Linked DNA regions of Oryzias latipes. The protein of the gene in region 3 purifies or fractionates together with the protein of the main gene of each other region. This does not show direct contact. Links are inferred from orthologs where the notes say so. Each region holds a gene or a part of one and is shown on either strand. Other genes may lie near its edges.

Region 1 (3,753 bases), on a different chromosome or scaffold from region 3:
GTGCAGTTTTGAGGTTTTCATCTATAATATCTGCAGGATACAAGGCAAACTATTCAAATACAAACTATTTGGAGTTTTAGGAAGGAACACTTATTGAAGCAGTCAAAGCCTCTCACCGAACAGCTCAATGTAGACTTCCTGAAGTGTGTGGACGCTACAAAACTGGTTCAATTCGTGGTGAATCTTGTTAAAAATGAGAGTTTTGTCATAATCGGCCGTGTAGTTCCTCACAATGTCCACCACTACAAACAAAGACACGGTGGTTAAAGTCGATCAGGAACGTTTGCAATCACAAAGATTTGAATACACCATACCTGCTGTAGGGACCAACATATTTACAACTTCTATTCTGTCAAAGTAGATCATCACACCACCACTATTACAGAAAAAAAACAAGGTTTAATTCAAACAAATAGTATCTAAAGAGTAATTAACTTCTGAAAATGTGTCTCTGTAAACAGTCATACCTTGTCCCACAAGGCACATTCTTGATCTCATCAGTTTGAAGCGTGGTCTAAAACAAAAAGTTCAAACATATTTTGACCCGAATGTTAAAGTTGAGAGAAATAAAACTAAACACATGAAAATGAGACAACATTATCCCAAATCTATTAGAAAAAAGAAATATCACAAATGTGGAAAATATAGCATTTGATTCAATTATTCTCATTTGTGTTACATTTGTATTATTTATGTCCAAAGGATCAAGTTTAAGCAGATCAGAAATAGTTAGAGGAATTAGCCACTCAATAAAAATTTGTTCCTTACAGCTAAGAAGCTTTGAAAGCAAAAGCAAAATTTTTTTTTTTTTAGAATTATGCAACTAAATGGTGCAAAATTTATTTTTTATTTATTATAGATCCTTGCTGAGTAAATATGTTTAATCATAAATTTTGACTGAGAACTTTTCAAAAACACCTCCACCTCCCAAGGGAGTCTTGTTTGGACCAAGCGGATTCAACGAAAGTTTTAAATGAATTTAGTTTAAAAAAAAAAAAAACATCTACTACAAGTTGGGTTTCAGTGCAAAAGTATCTGTTTACCTGCACTGCTCTGTATGTGGTGATGAAAGGCAACATGATATGATATCCTGGACCATTGGGAGTAGTTAGTAAAGCTCCACCTCTGGAAAAAAAACAAAAAAAACAAAAACAAGCATTGCTTGGTGCATATCCGCATACACAAATAAATAAATAAATAAATGAACGAGTTCCCAGTACAGCTTCCATATTGTCTTTGCGTTTATAATCTGCCTCACCAGATGTAAAGTATATTTAAATTTCTCAAAATCCTTTAAAGCTCCATTGCAATCATCTATTGATTTGTTTGAAAAGGATTCCAAGTGGTCTTTTAATTATGATTATGTCATTTTCTGGGACAGTTTCTGCAAAGCAGAACCACAATTTTAAACTTAATTTTCTTCATATATGTCCTCCATCATGAGTAAAATACCACAAGAAAGTGTTAAAAAAAATCCAGTTTTCATTGGGATTTATCTTTAAACAAGTAGGTCCCAATTGGTAGATATTAATGTCAACTATGAAAAACAGGTGTTTTTCACAAACTACAGACGTAAAAAAACCGAATGAAATACCTGTAGTAGACGGCAAGGTGTCCTTCCTCTATCTTGTGAATGGAGGAGTGCAGCATGAGGGCAACCACTCCTGCCATTGCTGCAAATACTGCCCCCACATGCGGCATTGTCATCCTCACTTACACACACCTGCCAGAAAAAAAGGAAATGTCAATCAGCAGAAATATTTACACAACGATAAGCAGTGACTGAAAGGGAATCAAAATACCCACAGTCCCAGACTCAGAAAAACAGGGGACCTTTCCGCACTTATCTGAAGAAAACATTGACACACCCGAGAAAACACTAAAAATATGGTCGAAATCCTAAGGTTTTGTAGAGTTCTAGCAACAATACTGCATCACAATATAATTTAAAGTACGCATAATGTGCAATTTAGGTGTCAATATACACATTGAACCAAATTTGCTGCAGGGTGAATCAATTTTGTATTAAATCTGTAAAGTAACAAAAACAGCCCAATAATAAAAAAGATTGAACGTTTGTTTATTATGTTTTGGCCTACAATTTAAATCAAGTAAAACGTTGGTTGTTAAACATGGTGAAGATCAGTTTTGAAATGTAATGGAACCTCGATGCGTAACACGAGAACTAATGGGAATGCTGGGAAGTGTAAAGCTAGCGTGCTTCTTTCTGCTTTATAACTTGTTCTTAAAAAGGCAGCAAGTGAGATGCCTCTACAAAGTAATAAAGCAGAAATTAAACGATACAAATCTGCATACTCGAACATGACCGACTCATTGAGAAAGTGGAAAACGGAAGACTACTAGCAGGTTCGCTTAGCTAGCTAGCTAGCTAGCTTTCTCTAAGGGTGGATTCGGAAATCGCTTACTCCGTCGGCAAATTGCACCTAAGCGCAACTTCAAGTTGTCAAACGGCAATAAAATATAACTAATATTCACATAATGGACAATGCTGTTGATTATTTAAACATCTGAAACATTACAATAAATATATGGTTTTAAAAAATGAAAAATTACCCAAGTATCGAACAGTTGCACTCTGGTCTTATCATTCGACGGACCATCCCCCTCACGTCACTCCTCCCCTTCCAACGCTGATTTGCTTCATCGAAGTTACTTCAGGGACCGTCGAAAAAAAGCCAAATGCGATTTTAAAAAAGTCCTGGGGACAGTAAATTGTTTTTTTCTTCTTCTTATTTCTAGTTATTTTGCGTTTCTGAGCCTGGACAATTTGGTACAGGAAATATTTTAAAAAAGAAATAAAAATAATATTCGGTGGCAAACTCTATAATTTAGGGTCAACTTTTCTATAAAAATATGAATGGCAAAACTAATACTTTGACAAAGACCTATTCAAAAATGAATATTTATAATAATTATGACACACAAACTATGACACAAAAAAGGCAGACGGTTTAAAAAAAACAAACAAAAAGGGCATAGATCACTCATTAAGAGATATAAATTTGAAGAAGAAAAAAAGAACAAATGAGAAATAAGGGATTCGGGAACCAAATAATTGGACAGAGCAAACAAAAATATGAGTACAAATAAAATGACTTATAAAAACTGAAAATAACACAACACTGTAAAAATCCCAAAATCTATCTAGGCAAAAATGACATGAGAAGGTACCTTCATGCAAGTCTTAAGGTTTAAAAATGATATTTATGGTGATTTTCCAACCAAATAATTTAAAAAACTTTATTTCTTCTTGTTTTTTTCTTCTTCATGCAATTAACTATAAGAAAGGCATTCAGATTACTCACAAGGATGACTCAGACAAAACAATGTTTGTGTTTAACACCTTTATAAAAACGTCAGGTCACCTTCCATTGTTAACACATTCTTTTAACAAAAATAATGCACTTTGATTCATCTGAAAATAAATATGTTTAATATTTAAGGACAAAACACTCATTAAATATGTTAACATTTTTTCATGGACAGCTTAAAAACACTTTTTATACGTTATTGTCAAAGAGGATAATGTATAGGCACACATAGAGTGTTTCTGATATGCCAGACATTGTAATCTTTGGAAAGTTTTCATGGCTTCTGAGACTGGACCTTCACTGCTCCAGACTGAGTCCAGCTCCAGTCTTGATCCTGAAGAAAGAAAAAAAACCTGTTCAAAATCAAGCAGACTTAAAAGAAAAACCATCAAGACACAAGACCAACATGAGGGGATGGCTA
Region 2 (3,753 bases), on a different chromosome or scaffold from region 3:
ATAAATAATCCACATCTAAGTAAAATATCTCATTGATGAGGGTTTGACACAACTTCCAACTATTAAAATTAAAACAAAACCTGTTTTACAGGAGATTTAGAAGAAATTAGCACAAGATTGTACAATTTCCTCACAGAATATCAAAAGTACCTTCACTAATAAATTGTGTGAGGAACCCCTAAACTATACTTTGCTTCTAAACTCTTTCTTACCACAGAAAAGGTGTCCACAGTTTGTTTCCACGGGCAGAACCGCCTGCTGCAAACAGACGGGGCAAGACATGTCTGTGTAGAACTGCTGCCTGGCCTCTGCCTGAGGGTTTTCATCCTGACAAACCACACGCAGAGAACACGTCTCACCATTGCAAACAGGACGTTTGACAAAATAAAATACACAGAAAGACATCTTCCTAAAATAGAATCGGTGATTCTGCAGAGCTGCAAAGATCACTGTTATGAAATATTTCAATGTAGTGGTTCTGATTCTGCAGTTCCTCCATTTCCTGTGTCTGCCTGCTTACATATGTTCTTAACTCCTCACTGAATTTTAAAGCCTTTTGAGGTGACGATGAGCAAACAGTTTAAACTCAATTCAATACTGAAGATACTGGCCGTCTGTATATGTATATGTATAAATATTTTTAAAAATGTAGTTTTAACTTACTCAGATAAATAAATAAATAAATAAAAAGGTTATTTTAAAGTATTACAACTCCAAGAGTTAAAAAAAAAAAACAAGCTACATTTATTTTCTGTTTACTTGTTTGATTTTTTAAAAAAATAGAGCAGTGAATGATTTTATTTTGAAACTCAGAATTAAGCAACAGAAGAGAAAAACGGCGCTCTGTGGCTACAACTAGTCTAGGTTTTGCCAAAAACTTTCTGGGGTTCTTTCTAGGTTGCGCACCTGTTCAGTTTGAAGCTGCTGTCGGACCGCTCGGACATGCTCCTGGTTCTCAGGGTGGATATTCTGCTCATCTTGCCTTAAAAAAGAAGACAAAGAATAATGATCAGACACTAGGATGAATTATGTCATATATGATTGAATTCATCCTTAAATCCCTGACTTGAAAAATCCAAAAACAAAAAGATTGCAACAGATTAACGCAAAGAGAGGCAATCTGAGTGTGTCAATTCTCACTTATGTGTTTCTGCCTGAAGGACAAAAGGTTTTCAACCGTCGTTGCGGTAAGAAATGGATCAATGAAAGAAAATTTCATAATGATGATGTAAGTAAAATGATCTGCCAACTTTGATTGGAGCGCAAAGACCATCATTTTGCTCGTTGCGCAGGGAAACGAGCCTGATCGATCTGGCGTTACTTCAGTCGCTTTAAATTCTAGAATTAGCTCCTATATCTGTGATATCACATAAATTAAACAGCAGCATAATTTCTCCAATCAGCAGAGAACAGCACAGTAAAAACACTGCATGAACTCAATGCTGCCAGTTTTTGCACAGACTTGTTGGTCTTCATTACCTGCAGAGAAGAGTGAGGAGGCCCGCCAGGAAGGTCAAACTGAGAACTACAACAAACAGGACCTGGTTGCTGACACCTTCGATGATGGTGTCCTCATCCTGGATCAGGTAGTCCAGCTCTCCACATTGACTATCCCCCATTCCCTAAACTCATATCCTATGACTCTGGAAAATGAGCAGAGAAAACAAACCCGGAAATTCTTTATCTCCAAAATAAAAGCCTTCAATGGAGAACAGAATCTTTTTAATTGTACATTTTCCTGACAATTTGACACAATTGTAAACATAAAAACCAAACAATATAATGTGAACAATTTAACAGAACAAAGAGAGTGGATAATTGTTGAAAGCTGGACTCTTTTGGGGTTTTGTTACCTCATTCCTGAGCAGCTTATCGAGAATTCTTGAAAGCAAACGTCATTTGTAAACAATTAATGTTTACTTATAGGTTCATTTATCTTAACGGAGGTTTTCAGACCTCATTACTTTTTAACGCTACACAAACGATTATTATAGTCATTTATAACTAGGATTTAAAAAAAGAGAGGATTATTATCGCTCGTAAACAAATACAGAGCCTTATGCTAACAACAAACCTTAAGGTAGTTCCTGAAGTGAAACTATTTCATATCACGTAAATCGAAAGCACTGACGAAAATTAACATGAACGTGTTTCAGACAGCAAAAAAAAATACAACAAAAAAAGAAAACATTTGTTTTAAAAAATAGAAAAACAAAGACTTGCCATAGTTAGTAGTAGTAGTAGTACCTGCTAAGAAGTCCACCGTCACGCGGTAATGTCTGTACACAAACTTGGCCTGTTAACTCCATTCACTTCCTCGAAACATACTATTAATTTAAGCGCCTGATGAAGGACGCAATCAACAAACTTGGTGAGCAGGAAGGCTTGCATACGTTTCCAAATTTCACCTGATCATCGCATGTTGATGCAGTCACTTTCTACTTCTTACTCAATTTTGGTGGTTTCGTTTGTTGACAGCAAAGATCCCTGGGGCTCTACCGCTCCCTAACGGCCAGTTTGTGAACAACTTATTGTCATGATCTTTGCTTTAAGTTTCATGGTTATCGTGGTCATATCATAGGCAGTTTAAACGACTTGTTCAAATAAATACATATGGTTTTAATAAAGCAATTTTAAAGTTAAAGAGCAAAATTTTTCATTTCCTGGGGAAACTTAAAAAAATGCCACAACTGACACTGCCACAGAATTTGCGACTCAATGGTAATTGACACACAAAAAGAAAACAATTGTTGCACAGTATTTTCCTCACTATATTGGTTCAATGCTCATCATCAGTACATTCGTATGGAAGATTTCTGTAGTATATTTTAAAATGAAAGTCAATACCAGAAATGCTTTTTCAATTTTTAAAATGAAGCTGCATTTGTAATAATTTATAATAAAAAAAAAAACAATCCGACCAAACCACTTTTTCTTTTTCTTCTTCTTCAACACAGCTCATTCTGTCACTTAATTAAAATGAGAAAGAAAATGGTATTCGACATTTTTTACTAAATGTGTAGCATAATGTAATTAGAAATATCTTCTTTGATCATCAAAGTTTATTAACAGAAATGCTTTTTCATTTTGAAAATGTAACTGCATCAAGTGAATTAAAAAATAAAATTACAAACGAATGAGCCAATCTGCTTTTCTTTTTCTTCTTCAACACCGCTTATTCTGTGGCATAATTAAAGCGAAAATGCAAAGATGGGATTGCATTTTTGTTTTCACATCCACCGTGCGAAAGGTGTAATAATTCATCACCAGTTCATTCCATTGTGGCTCTTTTTCAGACCACTGTCACCCTGACTTCCATTTCCTCTTTTGATCAGTAGGTGGCAGTAATGAGCCTGACCGTAAATCATCTACCGGAGAAGAAGAAGTAGCGTCATCACACCGATGCGTATGGCATTACAAGCTAGCGTCTGTGGTTAAAGATACTTAAGATCTTTATCACACCGCATTTTTCAGAGAAAATGCCTCGCTATGCCCAGTTGGTGATGGGCCCGGCTGGTAGCGGAAAGGTATGTTTTCAAAAATGCCACTGGATGGTCTACAGCCTCTTGTCTGTTGTTGCTAACAGTACATGAGGTGGTGTCAGTCACCCAGCGTGTTTTTATTTTGTTATTGTGTTTTGCCATTAATTGTATCTTTTTAAAATATTATTATTAATATTTCAGAGTACGTACTGCTCCACCATGACCCAGCATGCAGAGGCTTTGAACCGCTCAGTTCAGGTGGTCAACCTGG
Region 3 (3,753 bases):
TAAAGTATCAGAAATATTTCAGAAGGGTTTTTGATGAGTGAGGATCTGTGGCGGACATTCTTCCCCCACAGGGGTTGGGGGTGCTTCCAGTATTTCCGGGTGCCTCTGACCCCCCCCTGCGCGAATAAGGTGGCAATTCTGTAGTGCAATATAGTATGGTAAAGTGCACCGTATTACAGTAATGCAGTCCTTTGTGTTGTGTTGTACAGTATGGTTCAGTGTATGGGATGGTGAATTAGAGTTTAGTGTTGTAAACTACAGTCCAGTACAATGTATTACAGTTTATTCCAGTGTAGTGTGATGGTATACTAGAATATAAAACAGTGAATACAGTGTTGTACAGTAAGTACAATGTAATGCAATGTAGTACAGTGCTGTACACTGAAGCCTATTTTAGTACTGTGTAGTAAGATGTAGTACAATGAAGTACAGTAAAGGACGGTGAAATACTGTATACTACATAGATAATAGTGTGGTATATTGCAGTACCGAGTACAGACAAGTATGGTGTGATATGGTCCATTGCAGTGCAGTACACTGTGTTAAATTGTACTGCAATGAAGTACGTAAAAGTAGAATAAAGTACGGTGTAGTACAGTGAAGTGTGGTGCAGTGTAATACCATGTAGTGCAGTACAATAAAGTAAACTGATAGATACGATAGAAAAGTTACCGTTTGATGTATCCGATGGTGTCTTGTGGTTTGACTTGAGCCGTTCTCTCTGTGTCGTTCAGAAATTTTAGTCTGACCACCATGTTTCTTGGGGAGGACAATGGCTCCCCCCCTGCTCTGTGTCTGACTCCTCCCCCCACCTCACTACCTTCCTGTGTGGCGGAGGTCGTGGGTGGAGCCTCTGACGGGACGCTGTCATTCACAGAGCTGGCAGCTGAAGATGAGGATGACGTTGGAGAGAAAGACAAGGAGCTGCTGCTGGTGGAGGACAGGGGCGTGTCCTGTGGGGCAGAGACGGTGCCTTCTGTGGGGGTGGGGTCTGTAGAGGCATTGAACAGGTGCTCTGGGGGCTCAGAGGTGTGGGTGGAGATCCATGCCAGCAGCAACACCAACAACACCAGCAGTGAGCCAAAGAGCAGCGTCACCTCATCGCCGACACCTTCGATTAGAGCCATCGCCCACGATGACACACCTGCAAACAGGAGGCGGAGCTTAGCGTCAGCCATCACGAGTTTCATTTGTCATAGAGCACCACCGATAATAACTCTTAGCTTTCCGTGTGAATGTAACCAACTCAGAATTGACCGGACTAACCATAACCAGCCTGATCTTTTGATCTATTTTCAACGTGTTTCCTTTTTATACTTTTACTTGTTCATTTTTTGATTGAATGTATCAAACACAGTTAGCATTTAAGTGCTGCTTCAGTTTACATAGGTATTTATTCAATGTGCCCTAATAAAAGTATTATGAAGAAAAAAAACCCAGGAAACTTTAAAATGCGAGCAGTACAACTATGATGACGTGGTTGAAGAAGCCCTCTCCGCACTCACCTGTTCTTTTTGTAAACAAACTCCCAGTATAACCCACGTGGCATTTTCAAAGTATTCCCGGACCCTGAACCGTTCTAAACTGCCTCACTAAGATGACTGTTACCCAGCCAAACCCTCATTATTTCACTTTTACACTGCGGCCGCACCTGTGATCTTTCCTCGATGTCTGAGCGTTGTCAAACTGAGGTCAGCTCCCCACGCGCCCTGTAATGCCACCTGTTAATCACGTCACGTGACACACAGAAGCACATCTCACCTGGAGGGTGGACGGCCGGACTATGTATGTGCAGATCCAAACATGCAACTCGAACCAAACCATGGTCTCTAGTGTAACCTGGCTTTATCGGAACCTAAGTTCCGAGAAGCTAACTAACAACTCTGACAAGAGAACGAGTTCAGAGCGGGATACGAACAACCTGACCGAACCTTGTTTAGAGCTGGACCCAAACAGAGGCTAAGAGGAAGCCTCGGAACAAACAGACAGACTTGAAACTCACTGATTAAGGTCCAAACGTCATATCATGAGTTGTTAGCCCGTGGGCTTCCAGGCTAATGTTCGCCAGATGGTCACTTCCTGTTCACGCTTCTTCTTCTGGCCTCCCGGTAGAACCAACGCGATGATGGTGGCATGCTGCCATCTGCTGGTACTTGGTGAAACACCACACGTTCAGGCCGTTGATCAGAAATGAATGAGAAACCTTATGGTGGATGAAAGACAGACCAAAGACGTTCGTGGAGTGAGAAGTGGTTGGTGTGAGCAAAGATGCACACAGCTTAAATGGTCGGAGACATTCCCTAAAGGGAACAGTCAAAAAGTGAAAAAACGTAAGCTTTCTCGATCATTACATTCAATTGTTTTATAAAACACATTGTCAATCATATCGTAATGGTGGTTTAAACTCACACGGGGAGAGACTCAATTTGCCTCATAGTTCCTGTATCCTTGAAGTTTCAAAATAGATCTCTTATGTAACGACTAGTTTACTTAATCTGCCTAAAGTCAGCTGCCTAATTCAACCTTTACCTTTTAATACATCATTTCAAGGTGTTATCAGAATCAGAGATACTTTATTGATCCCACACGTGGGAAATTTGTTTGTCACCATAGCAACTGACAGCAGAGGGGAAAAAAGACTAAGAATTAAGTAAAAAAAAAAAAAAAAAAAAAACAAGAACAAGAAAATGTAGCATAAATACAGACATCAAGGTATTATAATTTAAAAAGCTATTTACAGAACAGTGCAAGTAGAAGATGTGCAAAAGAAATGTGCAAAATAGAAAACAACTAAATAAATAGGTAATAAAAGATGTGCAAAGGTTATTTTTTGCATTGTGTGTTGTACAGGGTTATTGCATTGGGTATGAATGACTTTTGGTACTGGGCAGTTTTGGAGCGGAGCTGTCTGAGCCTCCTAGAGAAGGAGCTCCGCTGTTTGTTCAGAAGAGGGTGAAGAGGATGCTCTGGGTTGTCCATGATTGAAAGGAGTCTGTTCAGGGACCTCCTCTCCATCACTGCTTCAAAGGTGTCCTGTTTGCAGCCAATGACAGAACCCGCCTTCCTGATCAGCTTGTTCAGTCTGTTGGTGTCACTGACTGCAATGCTGCTTCCCCAGCAGACCAAGGAGGAGAACAGGGTGCTGGCTACCACAGACTGGTAGAAGATCCCCAGCATCTTGCTGCACACATTAAAGGACCTCAGCTTCCTAAGGAAGTAGAGTCTGCTGCAGGCCTTCTTGTACACAGCAGTGCTGTGGCTCCTCCAGCTCAGTCTGCTGTCGATAGTCACACCCAGATATTTATACTCCTCCACCGCTTCTACATCCTTGCCCATGCAGAGGCGTTGTAAGACAGTCCTTTTCCTCCGGAAGTCGATCACCATTTCCCTGGTCTTGTCCACGTTGAGCAGCAGGTGATTCTCTCCAGCCCACTCCACAAATCCATCCACCAGCCTCCTGTACTCCTCCTCCTGTCCACCGCTTATACACCCCACAACCACAGAGTCATCAGAGAATTTCTGTAGGTGACATGACTCTGAGTTGTGCTAAAAATCTGAGGTGTATAAGGTGAACAGAAATGGAGAGAGCACAGTGCCCTGTGGGGCTCCCACACCACTCAGCACCACGTCAGACAGGACACCGCCCAGTCGGAAAAACTGTGGTTAATCTCTGAGTCACGCTGGTTGAATTTTTGGCTTAAGATATCCCTGATCGATTTTACTTCAGTAAATCAAATTGTTCAAAATGAACCA

The links. Proteins that work in one complex are often made in the same cells at the same time.
Region 1: the proteins of tmub1 (region 3) and erlin-1 purify together in Homo sapiens (affinity purification with mass spectrometry; 3 studies listed by BioGRID and IntAct, with this or other methods). This does not show direct contact. The link is inferred for Oryzias latipes from reciprocal best matches to the Homo sapiens genes TMUB1 and ERLIN1.
Region 2: the proteins of tmub1 (region 3) and E3 ubiquitin-protein ligase RNF170 purify together in Homo sapiens (affinity purification with mass spectrometry; 3 studies listed by BioGRID and IntAct, with this or other methods). This does not show direct contact. The link is inferred for Oryzias latipes from reciprocal best matches to the Homo sapiens genes TMUB1 and RNF170.

Annotation. Positions count from the first base shown.
Region 1 is NC_019873.2:23,877,417-23,881,169, forward strand, and holds the start of erlin-1, read right to left. Parts: upstream 2,680-3,753; 5' UTR 2,575-2,679; intron 2,509-2,574; exon of another isoform or gene 2,427-2,508; intron 1,727-2,426; exon of another isoform or gene 1,724-1,726; 5' UTR 1,708-1,723; coding exon 1,595-1,707; intron 1,126-1,594; coding exon 1,044-1,125; intron 515-1,043; coding exon 468-514; intron 377-467; coding exon 315-376; intron 243-314; coding exon 117-242; intron 31-116; coding exon 1-30. Other genes in the region: inhibitor of nuclear factor kappa-B kinase subunit alpha, read right to left, coding at 3,607-3,666. UniProt on the Homo sapiens protein: Component of the ERLIN1/ERLIN2 complex which mediates the endoplasmic reticulum-associated degradation (ERAD) of inositol 1,4,5-trisphosphate receptors (IP3Rs).
Region 2 is NC_019870.2:16,803,588-16,807,340, reverse strand, and holds the start of E3 ubiquitin-protein ligase RNF170, read right to left. Parts: upstream 2,473-3,753; 5' UTR 2,224-2,472; intron 1,644-2,223; 5' UTR 1,620-1,643; coding exon 1,480-1,619; intron 983-1,479; coding exon 907-982; intron 328-906; coding exon 213-327; intron 1-212. Other genes in the region: gpn3 (GPN-loop GTPase 3), read left to right, coding at 3,480-3,527, 3,684-3,753. UniProt on the Homo sapiens protein: E3 ubiquitin-protein ligase that plays an essential role in stimulus-induced inositol 1,4,5-trisphosphate receptor type 1 (ITPR1) ubiquitination and degradation via the endoplasmic reticulum-associated degradation (ERAD) pathway.
Region 3 is NC_019875.2:10,863,668-10,867,420, forward strand, and holds the start of tmub1 (transmembrane and ubiquitin-like domain-containing protein 1), read right to left. Parts: upstream 2,183-3,753; 5' UTR 1,762-2,182; intron 1,684-1,761; exon of another isoform or gene 1,506-1,683; intron 1,145-1,505; 5' UTR 1,128-1,144; coding exon 673-1,127; intron 1-672. UniProt on the Homo sapiens protein: Involved in sterol-regulated ubiquitination and degradation of HMG-CoA reductase HMGCR. Involved in positive regulation of AMPA-selective glutamate receptor GRIA2 recycling to the cell surface.